Linked DNA regions of Xenopus tropicalis. The protein of the gene in region 4 interacts with the protein of the main gene of each other region in a biochemical or structural test. Links are inferred from orthologs where the notes say so. Each region holds a gene or a part of one and is shown on either strand. Other genes may lie near its edges.

Evidence for each region.
Region 1: the proteins of lrrk1 (region 4) and clvs1 form a complex in vitro, tested with the Homo sapiens proteins (2 studies listed by BioGRID and IntAct, with this or other methods). The link is inferred for Xenopus tropicalis from reciprocal best matches to the Homo sapiens genes LRRK1 and CLVS1.
Region 2: the proteins of lrrk1 (region 4) and cd2bp2 form a complex in vitro, tested with the Homo sapiens proteins (2 studies listed by BioGRID and IntAct, with this or other methods). The link is inferred for Xenopus tropicalis from reciprocal best matches to the Homo sapiens genes LRRK1 and CD2BP2.
Region 3: the proteins of lrrk1 (region 4) and fgfr2 form a complex in vitro, tested with the Homo sapiens proteins (2 studies listed by BioGRID and IntAct, with this or other methods). The link is inferred for Xenopus tropicalis from reciprocal best matches to the Homo sapiens genes LRRK1 and FGFR2.

The regions. Positions count from the first base shown.
Region 1 is NC_030682.2:117,380,238-117,386,613, reverse strand, and holds the start of clvs1 (clavesin-1), read right to left. Parts: upstream 3,859-6,376; 5' UTR 3,732-3,858; intron 1-3,731.
Region 2 is NC_030685.2:13,550,734-13,557,358, reverse strand, and holds the start of cd2bp2 (CD2 antigen cytoplasmic tail-binding protein 2), read left to right. Parts: upstream 1-2,767; 5' UTR 2,768-2,816; intron 2,817-2,832; exon of another isoform or gene 2,833-2,913; intron 2,914-3,946; 5' UTR 3,947-3,947; coding exon 3,948-4,016; intron 4,017-4,161; coding exon 4,162-4,300; intron 4,301-5,329; coding exon 5,330-5,487; intron 5,488-6,165; coding exon 6,166-6,625. UniProt on the Homo sapiens protein: Involved in pre-mRNA splicing as component of the U5 snRNP complex that is involved in spliceosome assembly.
Region 3 is NC_030683.2:19,257,008-19,263,470, reverse strand, and holds the start of fgfr2 (fibroblast growth factor receptor 2 precursor), read right to left. Parts: upstream 3,859-6,463; 5' UTR 3,473-3,858; intron 1-3,472. UniProt on the Homo sapiens protein: Tyrosine-protein kinase that acts as a cell-surface receptor for fibroblast growth factors and plays an essential role in the regulation of cell proliferation, differentiation, migration and apoptosis, and in the regulation of embryonic development.
Region 4 is NC_030679.2:115,752,394-115,758,281, reverse strand, and holds part of lrrk1 (leucine-rich repeat serine/threonine-protein kinase 1), read right to left. Parts: intron 5,315-5,888; coding exon 5,120-5,314; intron 4,901-5,119; coding exon 4,749-4,900; intron 4,215-4,748; coding exon 4,097-4,214; intron 3,679-4,096; coding exon 3,565-3,678; intron 2,747-3,564; coding exon 1,902-2,746; intron 1-1,901.

The sequences.
Region 1 (6,376 bases), on a different chromosome or scaffold from region 4:
AGACAGGGCTGAATGTAATAGGCATATAGTGGAAATAAGGAAGGGCTGCTGGGAATTGTCTTGGCCGAGGCCCACTTGGGCTGAGGACTACCAGGAGACCCTCTACTACTCTGACAGGGCAGTCCATCCTTTATTATACCAAATACACAAGCTGGTCCACATAGCTGAGTGAAAAATGATGCAAAGACATATGTCTTGGTGCTCTATTTAAAAACAGGGTGCAAGTTTTTTATGTTGTGAATGCTGCCTACATACCACAGCCTGCAAATATCAACACTGTAATATGTTAGGTATTATTATAATTATAATAATTATATTATATATAATATATGATTACCCCCATTTTAAGTTTTTCAGGGGACCAGAAACAAATGGTGCAAAATCTGGGAAAATGTGTTATATATTAGTGGGGTTACAAAACAATGGTGTAAAATGCAGGAAAACTTAAAATCAGGGGAATTAAAATTGAGTTTTTACTGTATATATAATATATATTGCCTAGAATATGCTTCATGTGATTACTAAAGTCCTAATATTAAGGCACCAGTATCCCCAACATGTTTTCTGGTGGTACCTTTAGTATTAGTTTGGTCTGTTCGTATACTTAAACAGAGTTCCTTTTGGTGAAATATTAGACATAAGCAAAGCTCCATACAAATAGCAGCCGCCTAACAATCTGTTATATCACAAATGACAATATTCTTTTTGCCTTGTTGGAAATGAGGTATGTGTACTGTTTATGAACACATTAAGTAATGAGGATATAGCCCATCGTGCTTTTGCTTGATGAAAGGTAATACAGAGAAAGTGCACAGAACTGGAAATAACACTCCAGTTGCAACATTTTCACAGTAAAGGTTGAGCTGATTAATAATGCAATAAATGCAATGTATAATAGTATTTGCTATGAGCTCTAAATGTCAATGAACAATCTGCCAAATAGATTGTTTCTTGGAAAACAAATGGCCTTGCAGCAGAAAAAGACACAATCGGCGCACAATCAATCTATATTTACTGTGCTGGAAAAGATGCTGTTTTTGTCCTTTAGAGATGGGCGGATAGTACTTTAGCAATTAAATGGCATATGGAACAGAGTGGGATGCCCATAATGTCTGATAATTAAGAAGATGCTCTAAGTTTTTTGGATCTGAAGGTCTCTTTTCCAGGCAGTATTTCCTTTGGCAAAGCTAATATAATCCAAAACAGCAGAATTCATTGCAGAGAGGAGTGACTTATCTGTCATATGATTGGAATTAACATCCTCTATACTTGGGTTAAATCCAGATGCAATTTAATACAAATGGCTGGGAAAGTTTGCAGATCTACAAGTGCATCTCAAAGCCATGAAATTTGTATTTATTGACTAAATGGCAACAGTATACAACATTACAAAGGGGTAGTAAACCCCCTTTTCAACATATGTTCAATGAATAGGGCTTTAATCAAAAAGTCAAAAGTATGGTAACAGGAGTCTTGGTTGGATCGAACAGAAAGGGACTGACCAATACTGCTTTGAATGTTAAGTGAATTTACAAACAAATGTTCAGTAGATTTGAAAGATGCTAAGAATTAAATTAGCTTTCCTCATGCGTAATTTTATATGTCAGTTTACAACCCCTTTATGTAGTATGGACTGATCTTGCCAAAAAACTGCATCTGTTTACTCCAAATTACTCCAAATTGCCATATTTTCCCATTGTACTCTAGAGATATGGTAATTTGTAGCTTTGCGAATCTGTAACGCACACTGTAACTTTGTTTATACATGACAATATTGTGGGCTACATTACTGGTCTGAGCTTTACTTAGAAAGTGCCAACTGTGTGGTAGCCCTGTACTTAACAATAGCCATAGTGCTTAGCAAGTAAATACAACCTGAGGGCCCAAAACAATTGAGTCTCGGTACCCTATTATATATGTCCAACTAAGTTTCAGTCCCAACTCATTTGGTGTAAGCAAGGTAACACTGTATCCCTGAGCTGATACCTTTCCCAACAGCAGTGGGGCGATTTAGTTCAGTCAGCTGCACCCTCATATTGTTTGTGTATTAATTTGTGAAATGGGCTCCAATAACATAATGTTTCAAAATGGCCTCTCCAAATCACAAAATCTTACTATGTGCAACTGTGATGTGGTTAATCTATTTATCTTGCTAATTCTATGTATTGTTTTGTTTTAGATCAAAATACATAGATGACATTAGGGACAGGTCACCATAAATACACCACATTTACCAACCTGCATCTCTCCATCATTGTTGAAGTACACTTCCTAGCTATCTAGGAATGCTGGGAATTGTAGTTTAATGATAAATAAATGGCTGTTGCTTGGATAAAGCTGAAGCAAAATAAGATATACTTTCTTCCAAACCATCTGTCTTAAAAATAAAACTCTGCCAGAGACTAATATATATATATATATACAGGTATAGAACCCATTATCCAGAATGCTCGGGACCAAGGGTATTCTGGATAAGGGGTCTTTCCGTAATTTGGATCTCCATATCTACTAAAAAATCTATAAAACATTAATTAAACCCAATAGAATTGTTTTGCATCCAATAAGGATTAATTATATCTTAGTTGGGATCAATTACAAGGCACTGTTTTATTATTATAGAGAAAAAGGAAATCAGTTTTAAAATTCTGAATCATTTGATTAAAATGGAGTCTATGGGAGATGAGCTTTCCATAATTCGGAGCTTTCTGGATAACGGGTTTCCAGATAACGGATCCCATACCTGTATTATATTATATATATTATACTATAAGGTTCTTGTATTGTTCTCTCTGCCATGTGTAATTCTCCAGCAGTTTATCCGGGTAGGTGTGTCTTTGTGTTGAGGTTTTGCTATTTGTCCCCTGAAGAATAAAGCCTTGCTTAAATGATCCCTGTGCCGACACTCTCCTATTTACAATAAGATTCTGTAAAAGGCAATGGCTGTTGCCTGTTTAATTCCTCCTTACAGAGACTTTTAAAGAACTAGGAATGATATTCAGCCAATGACAGTGCATAACTGGAAGAGTAAGAATATTATATTTGCTTTTTAGCTTTTTTTCAGTAAAGAAAACCATTTCTTTGTCTGGAATATACATTTGCATTTGGTAGCAGTGTGCAGATATCCTAAGGTATCCATATATGCACACCATGATTACATTTGCAACTGGAAGATATCGCTACCACCAGGCAACTAGCCTAGGGAGAGAAAACTGCTGCCCTCCAGGTGCTGTGAACTAAAGCTCCCAGAATCCCTTCAACAGCAATAATGCTGGGAGCTGCACCAGAGCTGGGGCCCCCGTTTCGATTTCCTGGTCTCAAATCACTATTGCTATCAACTGTTTGAGAGAGAGAGAGAGAGATACATAACAGAGATGCATAACACAAGCAGTAAGGTTTCATAGCATATCATTTGGTGATTGCGCTACATACCAGCTCCAGCAGGATATGATACTGTATATTTTGCACACACAACTCCACTTAGTTAAATATATATCCAAATATATCCCTTTGCTTAACTCTCTCCATGCACCTGCTATTCTGCCTCCCTTTGGTACAGCCCTGTGTGGGCTACAACATGCGGCACATTGCTGAGAGCCCGGCAGCTGATGGAGCCAGTGGAGCCAATGCAGATGGGAGCTGTCCGTGCGCTAGAGTGCTGAAATGCTGCAGCTCCTGCACCCCAGGGATAATGCACACATATGTCCAAATGACATTCAGTAAGGATCACGTACCTGTTACACATTAAATGCTTTCATCTTTCCTAGCATTAGCAGATCTGTCTGCTTCAGCAGAAGCTCTGGCGTGCAGCATTGGGCTCTGTGGGAGAGGTGGAATGGCCAGGAGGCGTTTTCTAAAGAAAAAGAAAAAAAAGGCAGTGAAAGGGTCTTCCGAGCAGAAACTGTCTTGAATACTGCTTAAAATGTAAACCCCACCTCACTACCCTGATTGGTCTGCTTGCTGTGGGGTGTAGCAGAGGTTTAAGCCAGCTGTTCCCTGGGTGCCACGGATTATTACAAACGTCACCATTTGTTTAATATGCAGCTAATTTCCACAAGTCGCCAGTGCAGGGGAGTACAATGAGTAAATACAGATGCACACAGCAATGCTGTTAGTTATTATGGTTTGTAGGGTGAGATTTGTTTTTTCATGTTGTAACTTGGACATGAAACAACTGGAGGGTGAACCCTGCCCTGAAGAGCTTACATTCTTATGAGTGTATTATTCTAGGTAAAAGAAATTTTACTTAGTAGATTAAGAATGTGTTAATGTCCTATATATATTGATAATGGGTGATTGCAGAGGACTTCTTGTTTTTGTGTACAGGTATAGGACCCGTTATCCAGAATGCTCGGGACCAAGGGTATTCCGGATAAGGGGTCTTTCCGTAATTTGGATCTCCATACCTTAAGTCTACTAAAAAATCAATAAAACATTAAATAAACCCAATAGGATTGTTTTGCCTCCAATGAGGATTAATTATATCTTAGTTGGGCTTAACTACAAGGTACTGTTTTATAACTACAGAGAAAAAGGAAATCAGGTTTAAAATTCGGAATTATTTGATTAAAATGGAGTCTATGGGAGACGGGCTTTCCATAATTCGGAGCTTTCTGGATAACGGGTTTCCGGATAAGGGGTCCGATACCTGTATATATATATAATTCTTGTTATATATATATATATATATATATATATATATATATATATATATACAAACACCACACGGATAGGCACTTACGAAAAAAGAGAGATCCATCGCCTGGGTACAGTCCAAAAATAGAGGCATAGATATTCATGGAAAGTCGAACCGCTTCACACAGGACTTATAATCAGCAAAAATATTTATTAAGGCAAAAAAAAAACAAAAATATTTTTTTTCTGATTATAAGTCCTGTGTGAAGCGGTTCGACTTTCCATGAATATATATATATATATATATATATATATACACACACCTATAAGAAGGACCAGCACACCAGGTCACATGAATATCTTCTTTTTATTCACTGTGCGCTGAACTATAGCTCTCACACAGTAATGCGCAACACCTAAAAAGGATAATCAAAAGAGCACACGACTGTCGCAAGTGTCAGTATAAATAACAGCCTTTTTCTATACTGACACTTGTGACAGTCGTGTGCTCTTTTGATTATCCTTTTTAGGTGTTGCGCATTACTGTGTGAGAGCTATAGTTCAGCGTATGTGTCACCCTTTCCCTTTTGTCATGAATCCTGTATTTCCTCCATTCTTTATGCACTTGTATTTTTGTCAATATACTCTTTTCCTCTCTATGTGCCTTTTCTTGATTTTGTTTCAGGGATTGCTGACTCTATTGCCTGTATTATACTTATCTTTATATTCACATTTGCCGTTTTGTGTACACTGGTAGTTTGGGGGGGTGGGTGCTGGCCTGCAACAGAGTGACGTCATTAGTCTAATTTTGGCGCCACATTCTGCTTATCAGGGGGTTTCTTGCGTGTATGTTCACTTTGAGAAAGGCTGAGGTTCCAGCCGAAACGTTAGGTTTTTGTTTGAATAAACTACTCTTTTTTTCTACACTAAGCCCTGTGAGTGCGGCATTCTTCCATTTTTGCTATATATATATATACAGGTATAGGACCTGTTATCCCGAATACTCGGGACCAATAGTATTCCGGATAAGGGGTCTTTCCGTAATTTGGATTTTCATACCTTATTTCTACTAAAAAATCAATAAAACATTAATTAAACCCAATAGGATTGTTCTGCCTCCAATAAGGATTCATCATATCTTAGTTGGGATCAAGTACAAGGTACTGTTTTATTATTAAAGGAAAAAAGAAAACCAGATTTAAAATTCTGAATAATTTGATTAAAATGGAGTCAATGGGAGACAGGCTTTCTGTAATTCGGAGCTTTCGGATAACGGGTTTCCGGATAAGGGATCCCATACCTGTGTATATATATATATATATATATATATATATATATATACAAATGGACAGCACCTTTTCCTTTAAAAGCCACATTGTAATAATAACCATATTAGAAAATATAGAAGAAATAAATGACCAGCACAAAGAGACATTTATTTCTATTGCTTTATTATCACATACACATACAGTACAATTATATACCCAGATTTCACTCAGTTGCATGCAGAGTTTAAATAAATAATAACCATATAAGAAACCATATAAGAAATAAATGACCAGCACAAAGAGACACCCGGAGTAAAACACACAATAATATGTATGCACATTGTTCATGGTTTAAGTACTTTTAATTCAAATGGGCAAAAAAAGGTGCAAAATAGTGTTTTGCGATTAGTGAACTGACATTTTGTTTTACAAGTAAAGGTTAAATGTGTTAACAGGATCTGTCTGGGAAACACACG
Region 2 (6,625 bases), on a different chromosome or scaffold from region 4:
TGTCACACTTAAATGTTTCTGCTCATCAAAAACCGTTAACTATTAGTCAAAGATAACATAATTGAACACAAAATGCAGTTTTTAAATGAAGGTTTACGTTATTAAGGGAGAAAAAAAACTCCAAATCTACATGGCCCTGTGTGAAAAAGTGATTGCCCCCCTTGTTAAAAAATAACTTAACTGTGGTTTATCAATTTCAATTTTCAATTTCAATATCAATTTCTGTAGTCACCCCCAGGCCTGATTACTGCCACACCTGTTTCAATCAAGAAATCACTTAAATAGGAGGTACCTGACACAGAGAAGTAGACCAAAAGCACCTCAAAAGCTAGACATCATGCCAAGATCCAAAGAAATTCAGGAACAAATGAGAACAAAAGTAATTGAGATCTATCAGTCTGGTAAAGGTTATAAAGCCATTTCTAAAGCTTTGGGACTCCAGCGAACCACAGTGAGAGCCATTATCCACAAATGGCAAAAACATGGAACAGTGGTGAACCTTCCCAGGAGTGGCCGGCCGACCAAAATTACCCCAAGAGCGCAGAGACAACTAATCCGAGAGGCCACAAAAGACCCCAGGACAACATCTAAAGAACTGCAGGCCTCACTTGCCTCAATTAAGGTCAGTGTTCACGACTCCACCATAAGAAAGAGACTGGGTAAAAACGGCCTGCATGGCAGATTTCCAAGGCGCAAACCACTTTTAAGCAAAAAGAACATTATGGCTCGTCTCAATTTTGCTAAAAAACATCTCAATGATTGCCAAGATCAATATCTTGTGGACAGACGAGACAAAAGTTGAACTTTTTGGAAGGTGCGTGTCCCGTTACATCTGGCGTAAAAGTAACACAGCATTTCAGAAAAAGAACATCATACCAACAGTAAAATATGGTGGTGGTAGTGTGATGGTCTGGGGTTGTTTTGCTTCTTCAGGACCTGGAAGGCTTGCTGTGATAGATGGAACCATGAATTCTACTGTCTACCAAAAAATCCTGAAGGAGAATGTCCGGCCATCTGTTCGTCAACTCAAGCTGAAGCGATCTTGGGTGCTGCAGCAGGACAATGACCCAAAACACACCAGCAAATCCACCTCTGAATGGCTGAAGAAAAACAAAATGAAGACTTTGGAGTGGCCTAGTCAAAGTCCTGACCTGAATCCTATTGAGATGTTGTGGCATGACCTTAAAAAGGCGGTTCATGCTAGAAAACCCTCAAATAAAGCTGAATTACAACAATTCTGCAAAGATGAGTGGGCCAAAATTCCTCCAGAGCGCTGTAAAAGACTCGTTGCAAGTTATCGCAAACGCTTGATTGCAGTTATTGCTGCTAAGGGTGGCCCAACCAGTTATTAGGTTCAGGGGGCAATTACTTTTTCACACAGGGCCATGGAGGTTTGGATTTTTTTTCTCCCTAAATAATAAAAACCCTCATTTAAAAACTGCATTTTGTGTTTACTTGTGTTATCTTTGACTAATAGTTAAATGTGTTTGATGATCAGAAACATATTGTGTGACAAACATGCAAAAGAATAAGAAATCAGGAAGGGGGCAAATAGTTTTTCACACCACTGTATATGTTACTCCTTGTAGATTGTAAGCTCTTTTGGGCAGGGCTCCCTTCCCCTCCTGTATTGGTTATTGATTGCTTTATATGTTACTCCTTGTAGAGTGTAAGCTCTTTTGGGCAGGGCTCCCTTCACCTCTTGTATCGGTTATTGATTGCTTTATATGTTACTCCTTGTAGAGTGTAAGCTCTTTTGGGCAGGGCCCTCTTCCCCTCCTGTATTGGTTATTGATTGCTTTATATGTTACTCCTTGTAGAGTGTAAGCTCTTTTGGGCAGGGCTCCCTTCCCCTCTTGTATCGGTTATTGATTGCTTTATATGTTACTCCTTGTAGATTGTAAGCTCTTTTGGGCAGGGCTCTCTTCCCCTCTTGTATCGGTTGATTGCTTTATATGTTACTCCTTGTAGATTGTAAGCTCTTTTGGGCAGGGCCCTCTTCCCCTCCTGTATCGGTTACTGATTGCTTTATATGTTACTCCTTGTAGATTGTAAGCTCTTTTGGGCAGGGCCCTCTTCCCCTCCTGTATCGGTTACTGATTGCTTTATATGTTACTCCTTGTAGATTGTAAGCTCTTTTGGGCAGGGCTCCCTTCCCCTCCTGTATCGGTTACTGATTGCTTTATATGTTACTCTGTATGCCCAATGTATGAAACCCACTTATTGTACAGCGCTGCGGGATATGTTGGCGCTTTATAAATAAATGTTAATAATAATAATAAATAACAAATGTAATAAGTAAATTTAGTCAAATGGGAGTGGTATTTAGGGGGTGTGGTTGCACGCAGCGTTTATTTTTGTCCCTGTTTTCAGTTTCAAAATGTTGGGAGGTATGTAACCATGTCTGATTCATTGATAAAAGCGACCAACAATGTATTTACTTTCTCTCCTGGGGCCCTTCCATTCCTGGCTAAATGACCTCTCTCTGGTTATAAAACCTATAACTATCAGGAAAAAGCCCTGTAACCCAATCCCATTTTAATAACCAGTGGCAATAAATGACAATTATTTTTTAATGTTATTACTGGTGCTTTAACTTAAATTGTGCATTAATAAGTCAGTGGGATGCACCAGTGACAACTACAAGTCCCAGCATCCCCTGCAAGACGACTACTTTGTGACCTGCAGCAGCTATACAGTCATATTTCAAAGCGATACAACTTCATTTGCCCTACTTCCGGTTTGACTTCATCACTTCCTGCGCGTCATCCGGCTGCGACACCCGCGTCTCGACGAGTGCTTCCGAAAAACGAAAGGTTTGTTGGATACTTACCGAGCTGCGCTAGAACTAAGGGGATCTGGGAACTTGTGAGGCCTTTAAAGTTGCAAAACACCGGCCCTTATTTACGGCAGGTCGGCCCTGGGGGCGGGGCCTGTTTGATACGAATCCCCTCTCCGTTATTTATGTTATAAACAGGGTTATACTGAGGAACCTGCAGGGATCTCTCTTCCCCTCATGTTTCCTCACACCGAGCGGTTTTCTTGCATTTTCCTGGTTTTAGACTTTCCCCCCCTTTATTTTGTATACAAGTTCCCTTCTACTCACAGGGTCTCTTAACCCAATAAGGGGTAATTATATCTTAGTTGGGATCAAGTACAGGTACTGTTTTATTATTACAGAGAAAAGGGAATCATTTAACCATGACATAAACCCAATAGGGCTGTTCTGCCCCAATAAGGGGTAATTATATCTTAGTTGGGATCAAGTACAGGTACTGTTTTATTATTACAGAGAAAAGGGAATCATTTAACCATTAAATAAACCCAATAGGGCTGTTCTGCCCCAATAAGGGGTAATTATATCTTAGTTGGGATCAAGTACAGGTACTGTTTTATTATTACAGAGAAAAAGGAATCATTTAACCATGAAATAAACCCAATAGGGCTGTTCTGCCCCCAATAAGGGGTAATTATATCTTAGTTGGGATCAAGTACAGGTACTGTTTTATTATTACAGAGAAAAGGGAATCATTTAACCATTAAATAAACCCAATAGGGCTGTTCTGCCCCCAATAAGGGGTAATTATATCTTAGTTGGGATCAAGTACAGGTACTGTTTTATTATTACAGAGAAAAGGGAATCATTTAACCATTAAATAAACCCAATAGGATTGTTCTGTTCTAATGGGTTTCCAGATAAGAGGTCCAATACCTGTAGTCTTTCATAGGGATGCACCGACTCCACTGTTTTGGGATTCAGTTGAACCCTGAATTCTTTTGTGAAAGATTCGCTGAATCCTGGTACAAAGGGGCTAAAGAGAACTCCTCCTTTCCGCTATCATGCGATGAAAAGTCATGTGACTTTAGGGATTCGGTTTGGCCAGGCACTGGCCAAATCCTGTATTTAATGCATCCCTATTAATAGTGCCTGTTGCCTTTTCTATAGGATGTCTAAAAGGAAGGTCACATTTGTGGATGGGGCTGAAGACGACGATGATGAGCAGAAAAAAAAAAGGGTAAGTTAAGAAGCAGAGCCGAATTGCACCATGTCGCTTTTCTTTTTCCAAACTGATCCCAGTAACCTTTATAAAGACGCCATTATATAGACGGTCTGCATTAGCCAATGTGCATGTCTGACACGGTCTCACCCCTTTATTGAAGCTCCCGGATGTAGTGGGAGGCCCAGGAAGTCGATTTAAAGGGAAACATTCTCTGGACAGCGATGAGGAAGATGATGAGGAAGAAACCAGTGATGGACGTTCTGCAAAGTATGACATATTAGCCCCCGAGGATGTTGAAGGTGAGATTCCATAGCAGGGTGCCCGCTTTGTGCCTCTTGTAGTATTATAAACCCCTTTACAAGAAACAAGCGGACGCATAATATAAGGATGTTTGGGAGAGGGTAGCTAAAGATACCTGGTACTGAAACATCCTATGCATAAGTTGCCCCCAGGCCACCCTAGTGTATTGGTACCCACAGTAATGATGAGGGAGTGAGCTGCAGGAGCAGTGCTGCTTGCTTTGCTTATGCTGAGCTGGAGGCAGGCCAGTAATTCCATAGGCTGAACTGCAATTTTAAACTCTACTGCAACCTATCAAAAGATGGCACTTCCTCCAGCTCAGCATAACTTGGGCACAATGGGCTCTCCACTCCCAGTCACCTAAAGTCATATCAGGGTGTCTGCTGCAGTAAGTACCCATCAGCTGGGGGTGGCTTGGGGCAGTCATCTACAAAAGAAGATCATGGCCATTTTGCGGACTACTTCATACTGGATATTATAGTAAAGTCTTTGTACAGGCTATGAGCAAAGCAAATGTTATGCTGACAGATACCATAAAACTATGGCAGCATAGGGATTCCCCTGTACTAAGCACAATTCAGCAGGAACAGCCCCCTAAGTTTGCTCATAGCCTGTACAGAGAGATACCATAAAACTATGGCAGCATAGGGATTCCCCTGTACTAAGCACAATTCAGCAGGAACAGCCCCCTAAGTTTGCTCATAGCCTGTACAGAGAGATGCCATAAAACTATGGCAGCATAGGGATTCCCCTGTACTAAGCACAATTCAGCAGGAACAGCCCCCTAAGTTTGCTCATAGCCTGTACAGAGAGATGCCATAAAACTATGGCAGCATAGGGATTCCCCTGTACTAAGCACAATTCAGCAGGAACAGCCCCCTAAGTTTGCTCATAGCCAGTACAGAGAGATACCATAAAACTATAGCAGCATAGGGATTCCCCTGTACTAAGCACAATTCAGCAGGAACAGCCCCTTAAATTTGACTTAAATTTGTCTTAAATTTGTCTTTGCTCTTCTTCCTCTGCAGGACAAGAAAACGCTACTCTGGAGTCGGAGGGTGGTGTTCCGATTACTCCTTTTAACCTGAAGGAGGAAATGGAGGAAGGGCATTTTGACTCTGAGGGCAACTATTTTTTGCGTAAAGAAGCTCAGATTCGGGACCACTGGCTTGATAATATAGACTGGGTGAGTGAATATGAATTGGGAGAACATGAAACGTAATAGCAGAATTTGAGTCCCTTCAGGTGGAACAGGGTGATTACAATCCAAGAATCAAGTTGGGCACTGTATGAACACAGTCACATTAGATGCCTCTTGGAATGCACTGAACCCAGTATTCAGTTTGGGATTCAGGCAAGATTCTGCAGAATCTGTAAAATCACATGAACACAGAAGTAAAAAATTAAGCGCGCGCTTCATTTAACTGTTCCGTAGCTTAATTTGCACATGCAAATAAGGATTCAGTTCAGTATTTGGCCAAATCATTTACAGAGACTTTTGGGGTTCGACTGAACCCAAAATAGTGGATTCGGTGCATCCCTAGATGCTTCCCAACTTTTTAGATTTAAGGCTGTCGCTTCTCTTCATGACGCCCTAAGCATCCCGTCATGTTCAGATCTGTTCTTGCACCCCACCAGTGGCATTGGCCAAGGGAAACTGGCACCTCTTCATGTGATTGGCCAGACAGGATAGGAGGAGGATGCTGGGGCAGTCAGGATGAGAAGAGATCATTGTATATTGTAGGGGAAGAAGCACTTTAAGATGAAAGCAGCACACATGGACCCTTCTGCTTATACCTAAACATGTGCGCCCGTGACCAATGGCACCCAGTAACCAGCAGTAACCCCTATCCTCTTGCCCTAGGTCCGAGTTAAGGAACGCACTGCACCCACAGAAACCGCTGATGATGATGACTCTGATTCTGAGGAAGGCAGAGCACCACTGAGCAAGAAAGTGCTACTGGAGGGAATCTTGCAGCTGCTTCAGCCTGGCGAGACTGTGGCTAAAGGAATCCAGCGTCTTGGAGGGACAGGAGGCAAAAAGGCAACTGGGGGCCAGAGAGCAAGGCAGCAGAAGACCCCCCAAGGCAGGAGAAAGAAGAGAGGGACTAAGTCTGACGGAGACAGAGAGCAGGAAGATAATACAGATTCTAAAATGGATGAGGGTAAAGGTGAAACGGATTCAAGGCAAGAGAGAAAGGATGAGCAAGGTCAGGAGTCCCTAAGAGACAGGGTGCGGGATAATGGCCAAGAGGAAACTGCACAGAGCAGAGTGGCTGCGGGGTCGGAGGAAGCAAGTAACGAGGCAGAAAGTAGGCCAGAGC
Region 3 (6,463 bases), on a different chromosome or scaffold from region 4:
CCCTTCCCAGAGGCTATTATCCCACTGCTACTATAGGCACCATCTCTCCCTACTATACCTGCTATCCCACAGCCACAGTCCCTTCCCAGAGGCTACTTAAAAGGTGCTGTTACCCTGTTGCAAGGTCAATAAAAAAATGTATGGTATGTCACGGATATTTCACAAACTCGACCTACACAAATGTTGCATTTTTGCAGCCCCCCTTTCCCAGGATTGAGGGCAGCCCCTGCTAGGGATCCCTACAGAGAGCAGTAAGCAATGCTAACACCAGCGCAGAAGACAAAGTGGTACACACGTCCATGCCGAGGCAGAAATACGGGCTCTATTCCAATAAATAGTGAAACCTCCGAAGTTGCACCTGACAATCCTGTTTTTCCTGTAAAACCTACAAAATCTCAAGTTTTTAAATGTTCAGGAAACCCCCCAACACACATGTTCATATCTGTGTCCCAAACCCTGCAAAACTGTGAAATGCGTTGACACATTAAGAAAGATCCATAAGTGACTTTTTTCCTCCCGCAAAACAAAATGTCATTTCAGCTCTTTGGGAAAGAATGCGGGAATGAAAGGGCCCCTGCTTTACAAATGATTTAAGTCTTGTTACACAACAGTCTCCCCCTCTGAATAATGACACTTGGTATAATCTCTTTTCAGCTCTAACAAGCCACTCTCTATAGCACCCATTCCTATTATAAGCACATCCCTTTCATGGAAACAACACCTTGCCCCGGACTTTCTCTTCCCTAATGCGGCGACTCCAAATAACGCAATGTAAGAGGGTTTAACCCCTGCACCCCTGAAACCTGCTAAATCCCTGGAAGGCACAGTGCTGGCGCTCTTATTTGTGCATTTAAATCCCATATAGAATTTCTCATTTCTTTCCAAGAAGTTTTTGGCTTCCTCCCCCAGCACTCCACCATAGATTTCTATTATCTAAAGGTTTGGCCAAGATCAGAAAATAGCCCTAATCTGCATTTTAATTGAGATTCCACAGAAGGGGAGACCGTGCCTCAATCCCTACTTATCAAGGGGCTTTAGTGCAACCCCCATTAAACCCGCACAATGAGCGGGGGCACCATGTACACTCTCATATAAAGCCAAGGAATTCAGCCTCCCTCTTGGCCACGGATTCCCCCATTGTATGCACCCCAGATTCCAGCACACAATGTACATTTAATGAGGGCTCCACAATGCACTTTTTCACACTTAACACATCCAGTACGGAGATTTGTAAAAGGGTTGTTATCTTTTTAGACCAAGCTCCGACACCAAGGTACAATGGAGCTTCACAACAAAATGCAAACACCAACGCACAGTCCCAAGAGCAGTTGGCACACAGGGATTTTACATGCAGCCCCTGGAACCTTTACATTATAGATGGATTTTTTCCCCCTTTACAAACAGCCTTCAAGTCAGTTCCTTGATTAACACCAGATACCACGCTGACTGGGTTAGGAATTCACGGCCGGTGGGACAAAGGAATGTTTTGCAAGGATTTTTTTTATAATGATAAAGAAAACCTGAATTTTCCAAAATGTGAAGCTTTTGTTGGGCTGCGTTCAGGGGCCTGTAATGCGTCTGTGGCTTTGCCCGCTGTGTGGGTGCTAAACACCTAACAGGCCTCTCTCACGGGTAGAATCCTAGCCCCTTTCTTCCTTGCCCGATGCAGACTATAAACCTGTCATTAATGGATCGGCAGTTCGTTTAACCTGTAGGAAGCACCCCCCCCAACCCTGATGTTGCCGAGTTTTGCGTAGAAAATAAAGGAGGACAAATAAAGAGAATTAAAAGCCGAAGGGGCTGCTGTGGGGCAGGCAATATTAGGCTCAGCAGGAGGAGAACATGTAAAATATTCATGCAAATATCCAAAATATGAGGACCTGGGGGTGCATTATTGCCCCCAGGACATTTTACATAAAACAGTCTTTACAAGATAGCGTTAGTACATGAATGCAAACACAGACATAGCGAGGGTACATACACACTACTACTCAGACTGTCCGTGCCCCTTGTACTGGGCCCCTCGAGCATCTTAGCACCTAAACAGTCCTGTCAAACCCTAGGGCAAAGGCACGCAATGGATCCTGCATTGGTTCCATGACCCTTTACTTGTCCAGCCCTACGTATGTACACAGTGGAAATGTAAATGTGGCTTGTGGCTCTGCTCTATGCATATACATAGCAACCGGTCCATCAGACCCGGTGGGTTCCAGCATTCGTGCCCATTGTGATACATAACTGTACAAAGAAAGACCCTATTGTTTAGCGAGCATTTAGGAGCAATCAGGAGTCGCACTCCCCTACTGCACAAGGGGTACCCACGGGTATAACATTGTAACCTGTAAAAGCAAATCCACATTCTGCAATGTTGTTTGTCCAGCCTGCAGCCCTCCAGCTGATCTGGAACTCCCAGAATTCCCCAGTAAGCTATAAGCATCAGATAATAGTGAGAGTGGCATTTAGACTGTCTGGTCATGACCAAGGGCCTATGTTTATATGTTACATTCATAAACCTACTTGGGGCAAAGCATGCTTTGTTGCATACCATAATGCAGGCCGCAGTGGCCCTCCATATTATTCACATTTATTTATAAAGCGCCAACATATTCCGCAGCGCTGAACAATAAGTGGGTTCCATACATTGGACATACAGAGTAACATATAAAGCAATCAATAACCGATACAGGAGGTGAAGAGAGCCCTGCCCAAAAGAGCTTACAATCTACAAGGAGAAAGGGTTGAGACACAAGGTGTTGTTCAACTGCAACAGGCTTTGGGCAGTCAAAAGCCGCTCACTTGTAGGCTGCCCAATGGCTGACCATTATCACCCAAGTTTGACCATTAATTACCAGCTTTTCTTAGTTTGGGAAATATGATTGCTTTGATCCCATTTGTCTATAACAATTATAATAACACATAGACATAGCGCCTTCTACAACAACTTTCCAACATCAATCCTGGGAGCTACCACACAGCTTGCATGGCAGGGGTAAAATTAAATATTATCCACTCACTCCAATAATATAGCGCCTCATAGTGGCCAAACATGCCAGAAAGCTTTAATATTTAAACCCAATTTCTTGTAGGCACTTGAGTACCATTCACTTCAGCAATAAATACAAGCTGGGCAAAAGTCCATGTTTTTCAAAATTCATAACGATCTAAAGCTGTTTTAAATGTTCTAAAACACCAACCCACATTATCATGCATTGCTCCCATAAATAAAGACCATAAAGTAAAATATGCAACAAACATCACCCTGCAGCGGTTTTGTGCGGCAAAGCGAATTTAACGCATTGCGCTTCCAATTACGCACAGCGATTTCCTCATTACCTGATTAAAGCAAGGAGTTTTAGACAAGTTTAACCAATGACATGACACAGGTATATCCCCTGTGGGGGTCTGTACCCCAGTTCTATTAGGCTGAGAAGCCCCTCCTAGAGTTACAACGTTGCGGGTTTGTTGGCATTACCTGGAGAGATGGCGGTGTAAGAAAATCCCCTCAGCCCTGCATCAGGCGTGTGCCTGGCAAGACTCCGTGTGTCCCAGGGGACAGATTCCCAAGTCCCGTTTCAGCCAATGAGAAATACGTATCCCTCCGAGCGCAGGGTGAGCGAGTCCCGATCCCGACTCAGAGCCCGGTAACCAGCAGCAGCCAAAGCCAGTGAGGTTCCAAAGAGGGGAACAGGCAGAATCCCCTTTGCAGGGTGAATGAGTAAGTTCTCTGTGATTTCTTTTCTCTCTGAGTGAATCACCAATCCCCTGATAGTCCCACAGTGATGAATCCCGCAAGGTTCAGTGCATAGGAATCCCGGTAAGTGCTATCCAGGCAAGCCAAGCCCTTCCAGGCAGCAGTGCAGCCACAAACAATAAGGTAATAGGTAGGGAAAGTTCCCAAAAGTGGATGTGTGAGAGGTGCAACCCAGTGTAGATCCCGTGTGTGAGGGGCAATGGAAAGTCTGTGTGACTTTTCCCTCCCTCCCCCTCACTCCTCATCCTCACTCCCAGCCCCTTCCTCCTCCCTGAGTCACTCCCCTCTGTCTGGAACCTGAGCCTTCATCCCTCCCTTCATCCAATGCTGGAGCAGCTCCTCTCCCCTGGCCCAGTCTCCCTTCCCCAAGCCCTGCTGGCCCTCCCCCTGTGCCTGCCCCACACTTTGGCATACATCACTGCACAGACTGGGGAAGGTTTGTTTGTATTGGAATTACTATGCTATGTGCGCTCTCTTTCTCTCCCATTTTCCATCTCCTTCTCCTAATATTTATCTTCTCTTCATACCCCCCTCATCATTAAACAAACAAAAAAAAAATTAAGATCACCGGTGAGGTCACAGTATTTTAGTGATGTCATACTGTGTACTTGCATCGCCATTGGGCAATAGGGTTGGCAATGTTAACAAGAGAAAAATAATCTTCTACTGCCTAATTATAAATATATTATAAGTAATATTTTTATGGCGCTACTAATTATATTCAGCTATACAAAGTAGAAAATAAACCTCTGTGCCAAAGAGCTTACAATCCTGTAACTGTCACTGCTATAGGGAGGCTGGAAGGTTCTATAGGTTCTACTGAATAGGTGATTGGTAAAAAGTGCTTTGAAAGGGTACAGATTGCAGCACTCAGGCTCAGACTGGCAATCTGTGGATTCTGCAAATGCCAGCTATATAAAGTAAGCCTCTGTACCAAAGAACTTACAATCTAAAATCCTGTCACTGTCGAAGGGAGGCTGGAAAGTTCTGCTGTATAGATGATTAGTGTCTTGAAAAGGTACAAATAGGGACACTCGGGCCCCGACTGGCAATCTGTGGGTCCTGGCAAATGCCAGCTATATAAAGTAAGAGTAAGCCTCTGCACCAAAGAACTTACAATCTAAAATACAGTCATTGTCAAAGGAAGGCTGGAAAGTTCTACTGTACAGATAATTTGTGTCTTGAAAGGGTACAAATATGTGTGTATGTATGTATATCTTTATTTATAAAACGCTACTTATGTACGCAGCGCTGTACAGTAGAATAGATTAATACAAACAGGGTGTTAATAAGATAATAGATAAATACAAAGTATAATAATAAATACAGATAAATACAGCAGCAATAAGTTGAGAGTCGAGGATACAAGAGGAAGGAGGTCCCTGCCCCGTAGAGCTTACAATCTATATAAATAGTGACACTCAGGCCCGGACTGGCAATCTGTGGGTTCTGGCAAATGCCAGAGGGGCTGCTGTAAGATGCCATAGACACTCACTATTTATTGGGCTAGTGGGGGGCTGTTTGGGCTTCTCTGTACATGAAATACCAGGGCCTATTTTGACTCCCAGACACTGTCCCTTACATAGTGGGGGTCACAAGGAGCAGCAGGTACAGGTAGGAAGAGTTGGCAGTTAGTAGGCACAGCAGAGCATGATGGACACAAGACAAACACTAAGTCCAAAAAAACACATGCGCCATAAGCCCCATTTATTAGTTGGCATCAAGATTACACGGGCATCATGGTGGTACCAGGTTATTACCTGCATGGAGTTTGTATGTTTTCCCTGTGCTGACGTGGAGTTTTTCTAGATAAAAATGACCATAGCGTATGTGAAAGTTATACATACATTAGATTGTAAGCTCCAGATCTGTGAATATGTCCGTTATACGTACATTAGATTGTAAGCTCTTGATCTGTGAATATGTCCGTTATACATACATTAGATTGTAAGCTCTTGATCTGTGAATATGTCAGTTATACGTACATTAGATTGTAAGCTCTAGATCTGTGAATATGTCAGTTATACGTACATTAGATTGTAAGCTCTAGATCTGTGAATATGTCCGTTATACATACATTAGATTGTAAGCTCTAGATCTGTGAATATGTCGGTTCTATATACACAAAGGATAGTCATTTGGGTAAGAGTGCATTTCAGCTCTGAGGCTATGGGACATAATGCCCTGAAACTGGAGGCTTCGGTGCCGCAGCAGAGAAAAGGTGGAACTGTTTGTAACATTTGGAAGAGAAGGGTAAGTGGCCCAGACTGCCCCAATTGACTAATAATAAACAGAGGCAGGAAGGGGAGTTGCCATAGCATTTATTTATCTTGGGACCCAACCAAGTCATTTCGGAGGGACACATAGTCCGTTCCTGCTCCACGCCAGATCTGTCGCGATTATCCCATTATCCTATTATCCCACCAGCCAATCACAGGAAGAGATGTTTAGTAAAGTAAAGTATTGCTGGATAAATAATGATACATATTATTAAAATGTGTATTGGAATCGGCTGGTGATGTCTCCTTTAGTTGGGCCTTGCTTTATGGCAGGGATTCCTTCCCTCCTTATAGACCAGCCTTCTGTCACAGTGGTCACACTGTTATATGAAACGCATTGCGGCACAATGGTGGACATTCTCCTGCCCGGGTGATTATTAGCTCTGTGGGTCTCTGAGCAAACGCTTTATTCCATTACTCCTCGGCATCCGTG
Region 4 (5,888 bases):
GGCAGAGGGCTTTACAGCGTTAGTCACAAAATGAAACTGTGAGTGAGGTGTAGGTTTTGTTCTTTTTGGCTACGTGACTGGGGGAAAAATGCTTACTTTCACTAATTAACTTTCCTCTTGGAGACATGGAGAAGTGGTTTAAATTGTCTTGGGATGTTGCAATTTCCTTAACTCAGAGAGTCAATAAAGCTTTTCCTTATAGCGACTCCACATGAGTCAGAGGCATGAGGTCCAGTTACTGAGTGGAGTAACTGCAGAAACCTCTGCACGTGTTGCTAATCCCTTCTGGAGAATCATGTGTTTATGGGAGCAAAAAAAAAGTTTAAACAGAAAGAAATATGTTTGAATTGACCTCAGCCTGGATCTTCACTAGTCTGGTTTGCCGACACCCTAAAGAGGGCTAAAAGTGAACTATACACAAACTCATGACAACACACTAAATACTTCAGCAAAAACTTAGTAACAAAAATATCTAAGAACAGGAGGCTTTGTGCCAATGAGCAAACCTGAGTGTGGGACAGGAACACATATAGTCTCTATACAGTGCAAGTCATGTAAAGCTGCTTGGCTTACTCGATGTCCCAAACAAAGAATTTGTGCTAATTTCTTTCATATTTAAAAAAAGAAAAAAAATTAATAAATCATATGGGAACACGTGGTTTTTAACCCAGAAATATGATCAGCTTATCCTCAAGTTCTTTCACTAACATGTAATACGCCAGTCACTCCTGATTCCCAGCCCCAGGCCTTCCTTCTCCTGCTTTTACAAGTTTCGCTGAACATGGAGCCTCTGCCTGGACACACGACAAGCCTTTGTTGACAGTACTTTTAATGCCATGCTGTGAGCCATTCACAGCTTACAAGATGGAGCCTACTACCTATGACGTAGTTCAACGACTGCCGTTTCCTAAGTAATTCACATTTCTAGCAGGAAAAGTTGGAATGCAGGGTACAGGTACAAATAAACCATGCCATGGAGAACAGAAGCTTAAAAGCTTTGCTGTCGAGTGGCACATGTACCTGTGTGTTTTGCCATTTCATTGAATTCATAGTTTCTTTTCTACAGTACCTGCCTGTAAATACTAATAAAGAGGAAAGTGCTGCATGATGTGCATGGAGATAATGTAGGTCTCAGCCACTCCCCACTCTGGCTAAAGGTGGCCATGCACGGTAATATACTTGCTTGGTAAGGTTGCCAAACAAGCCACCTTGGGTGGGCGATATTGTGCTAATGCAATTGTTTGGCCTAGGATCACATTACAATGGCCCTAGATCACGTAACAATGACGGGGGCACGAGACGTCAGAGCGAGGACTGCATCAATGAGCCCAATGCGGTCCTCAATCCAACAGAAAAATCAAGCCTGCCTGATGAACATCTGCCTGAATTTTGGCCAGATATCGGTCAGGGAGGCCTGTTGGAGGGCCCCATAAATAGGAAGAAAAGTTGCAGACACCATCTTTGTGCAGACAACTTTGTGCAAGCATACCAGTTCTGATAGCCGCTACTGTGGACGCAAACAGTTGACTGCATATATGTTACACATAGTCATTAGCACAACTACAAAACTGCAAGCGGAAAGAGCTGATAGCCACATCAACTGCATGAGAACAAAAACTGTTGCCGTTGGTTGCCAAACTGTAGAGCTGACCACAACCCGAGGTTGGGAGAGATAAAAGCAACAGCTGTGGGGCATGGGATTAAGGCCAAATAGTTTTAGTGTTATTTTCTATCCTATTTTTCCAAACATTAGTATTGTGACTGTTACAAATACCTCTAACCATTTCAGCAGCTTTGGGCAGGTATTTTAGAAGCTGTAATCAAGATTCAACACCAGAACTCTGACAAGTCACTACAATGATTTGTATATGTGGCTGTGGTGTTTTGAAATGCATTCTTACCTCGGAACCCAGAGCAAATCTTTGACGACTACAATCCCAACAGCCTGCACATTGAGTTTTTCCTCCTCTGAAAGAGGTGTTCTGCCCCCCCAGCTCTCACTAGAAATTTTGTGTATAAGTTCTTGGGCTGGGTCTGGATCCTCACTATCTGTGGAAAATGGGGCACTACTGTAGCTGACCGGAGTGCTTGGCAAACTGGAGGAGGACTTAGCAGTCCCCTGAGGAATGGAAGAATAGAAGGATGACACAGAGCAATAATCGGTAAGAGAGTCTTGGTGGCTGAGAACTTGCATACCACGTTCTAGGCTGTAGATGATGCTGACGTTTGCTGAGCGGGGGCTATTACAGTTTGTAACTGGCAATGCAACAGGAACCACATCTGAACAAGGCTTTACTGTAAACATATCCCTTAGAGGACTGCTATCACCACAGAAGTATCGGGCACAGAGTTGGTAGGCTGCAGCATTATACATGACCAGAAAATTGGTCATATCATCCAATAACCAAACAGTCTCCTCTCTGTTAGTGTCTGTGCTTGTAACCATGGAGATGATGGATGATGGTGCACTAAAGGGTTCCAGTCTTTTTGAAATCTCAAGAGAGGTACAGTCCACTACAAGGACACCAGGTCCATTGCCATACCAGACCTCAGAACATTTATTGCAGATCTCCATGGCCAACACTGGGTGAGGTTTCTGACGTGGGTCATCATCTGTTATCTTGAACATGGAGCGATTAGCTGTGCGGGAACAGATGTAGGAGCAATCACTGCCTGGGATGCCACCACTTACTGGGAACACTGAAATCAGGCTGTCTGAAAGGCCAGCAAATACCAGGCAGTTCCCCTGAATAAAAGAAATATGGTTAATGAACAGTTATTTTTAATCAGCTTGTACTTGAAAAAGAATATAAAATGTCTTAAGAACTAAAATGGAAGAAACATAAAATAAAGATAAGTAGAAAGTAATAGTAGTGTCCATTCTAAAGATGACTATTAAGTCACCAGGATGATACTGGGGTCAGGTTTACCAGTAACCTATATACTTAATCATCGATGCAGGATGAGACCTGAGGTTGAATCAATCTTTTCCGCTTTGCAATTAGTTAACTGCACAGGGAACTCATTTGGGCTTGTCTGATGAAGACTACAGCCTACATATAACACCGTGGAAATATGAGCCAATGATTTGGGCTAGACTACTTTGTAGCCTCTTGGAATGGGCCACATGCACCTGCCCTAAAAAGGCCCCATTATAATCTGCCGCTTGATATTTTGACAATGCAGCAAGGATTGCCATATGTCTTGGATCTCACTATTTATAGATCTAAAACTACTTTATAATTATATATTATAAATATCTCTTAGATCTCTGTACCCCATCAGTACTGTTACACAAGGGGTTTCCAGAATCTGGAATCAGAATACCAGCATAGCATTCTTATTCTGATATTTTGTCTATTTGCAAATTTTTTACTTACTTCTTCTTACTTACTATGTATATTACTCACTTATATATTACTGTTGGACCTGCATCCAGGGGCGATTCTCACCCTGGAGCTGCCCTGAGGCTGTGATGCCACCCCCCAGCGCTTACCTTTCCTGTGCCGGAGGGGGGGCTGCATCTCTCAAATACTACAACATAGCTGCATTGGCTGTCCTCACCTTTTCCATATTCGCTACAAGGAAGCAGGTCACAATGGCAGGGGTGTCTATCACCTTTAGTGCGACACTTAGGGGGCACATGCCCTGCAGACTAAAGATAGATATCTTCTGATCCTGCAGATAAAGATTACATCATGTACTGGGTAAAGTAGATAATTTTCAATTACTTATAATGACAACAATCTGGTTAATCTCATGTAAAATAGGTTCCAAACACACTTTGTTGTATTTTAAACAAAACTGCTTCTTCCTATACAGAGTATCTAATCGTTTCTTGGCATATAAAAAAATATATAAAATAGAACTGTGTCCAGTTACGATGCTTAAACTCCTACATGCTTGGCTTGTACATTGCATTTTCCCACAGAAAACCAGAGATAGGTTACATCAATCTGTTTGTCCTTCCATTGTCACAATAATGTTAAGGCATTTCAAGAATGGGGGCAATAAGACAGTAGTACCATTGTATGGTTGCACAGAATAAATAAGGCACTCTCGTGTACATTAGTCCTAAATAGGTTTCCCTTCCTACCTCTGTTGCAATCCAAAGTGTATTCTGTACCCTTTGCTGGCAAGACATTCTCATCCCGGGGCAGCTCAGAGTCTGCACTTCCACCTGCCCTTTCTCAACATCAACCACGGTATAATTCCTGAAAGAGAGGAGCAAGCTAGTGTCACCAAGCAGAATATTGCAGCTGCAAATTCTTACATGGGGTTTAATGTTCTGTAAGCCAGGTATTCTTAGTTAAATATGAATATTAATGGTGGTAGAAGGTAGAAGATTGGCAAAAAAAAGTGTCAGTCAAACTTCCCAAGATATCAGGCTATTTTTTGTGTGCAAATATTTAAAGCTGGAAATGTATATGACACAGAGTATCTGAAGAAGGACAGAGACTTTAAACACTTTGTGTTTTTGTTTGTAAGAGAAATATTAAGAACATGTTACCATTTAACCTTAAAGTCACTAAAAGTTGTGACCTAGCATAATATGATTTTTGTATGGGATGGTAAGCCAAGCAGTGCCACAGAAATAAAAAATCATAGGATTTCTCTGTATAGAGAACTATAAACACTGTGCCAACATAGATACCGTTCCGTACAAAGTACAAATTATGCAAGATATGTGAAGGCCCTTCAATCACACTGAGAATTTTAGACTAGCAAACAAGCACTGGTGTACATACCTTGATGTCCCTGTTCCTACCCAGAATACAACTGTGCTCTCTGGTTCTCTGGATGAGCAGAATGATTCCTGTATCCCACAAGACAACTGGTACTTAAAAACTGTGAAGCTGGGGTCATTCATACGATGGACAACTGATGAAGCTAAAGGCCGCTATTTTGAATAGAGAATGAAACAGAGTTCACAAAGCAGCCTGAGTTGTTGCTCTTGATTTACATGAATGGAATACTTTCAGTTATAAGAACAGACCAGAGGTTACAACTGATAATGACTTAATGTGTCAGTGAGGCTGTATTCAGAAAACAAATACTACAAGTGAAACATGCACTCAGTAAATACTAAGGCAAATATTGCTGGCTTGTGGAATTGTACCTTTTCAGGCTTCGTGTCCCAACATTCCATCATCAGGTCCTGCAGATGATGGAAGTGAACTTCCTCTGGGCGTCCAAGAACTGGACGAATCCCCTTGGACAGTTTCTTGGAAATCTGCAGCTGGTGCTGGCCCAAAGATGGTCTCTGGCCTGACAATAGCTCATACAGGACCATACCATATGAAAACATATCCACCTACCAGAAAAGAAAAAAAATGGAAGCACTCAACATGGTATAGGCATAATAAGCAGCAGAAGCAAGAAACATTGTGGAGAGGCCACAAAGGCCCGGGCCTAGGGCGGCACAAATTTGGGGGCGGCATGCCGCCCCGCCGCACCACAATCTTAAGCTTTTTCATCCATATGGAGCAGTGGGGACCTCTCCCCCACTGCTCCATTTGCAAATGTTTACACCCTGCATGCACGTTGGGGAGGGGGCGGTGCCGATTGCACGTTCACGCATGCGCATGGGGGGGGTGTGCTGATCGTGCACATGCGTGGAGGGCGACGGACAGGGGCGGCAGGATTACAAATCCGGCCCTGCCTACGGCAGAGACTGAAATAAGCCAGACTGAGCCAATGTTTCATGGTAGGATAAAAAGGCTTGCATTAATATAGGAGAGGAGGAAGGGCTCTCAGCCCTTTAAGCTAGCTACAGTGATATTTGTAAAGAATTCCTTTTTGCTTTTTTAGATATACCTGAAAGCCCAGCTTGAAGCTAAATTAGGGCTAAAACTATGGCTGAATAGTTAAAAAGTCCAAACTGTAAC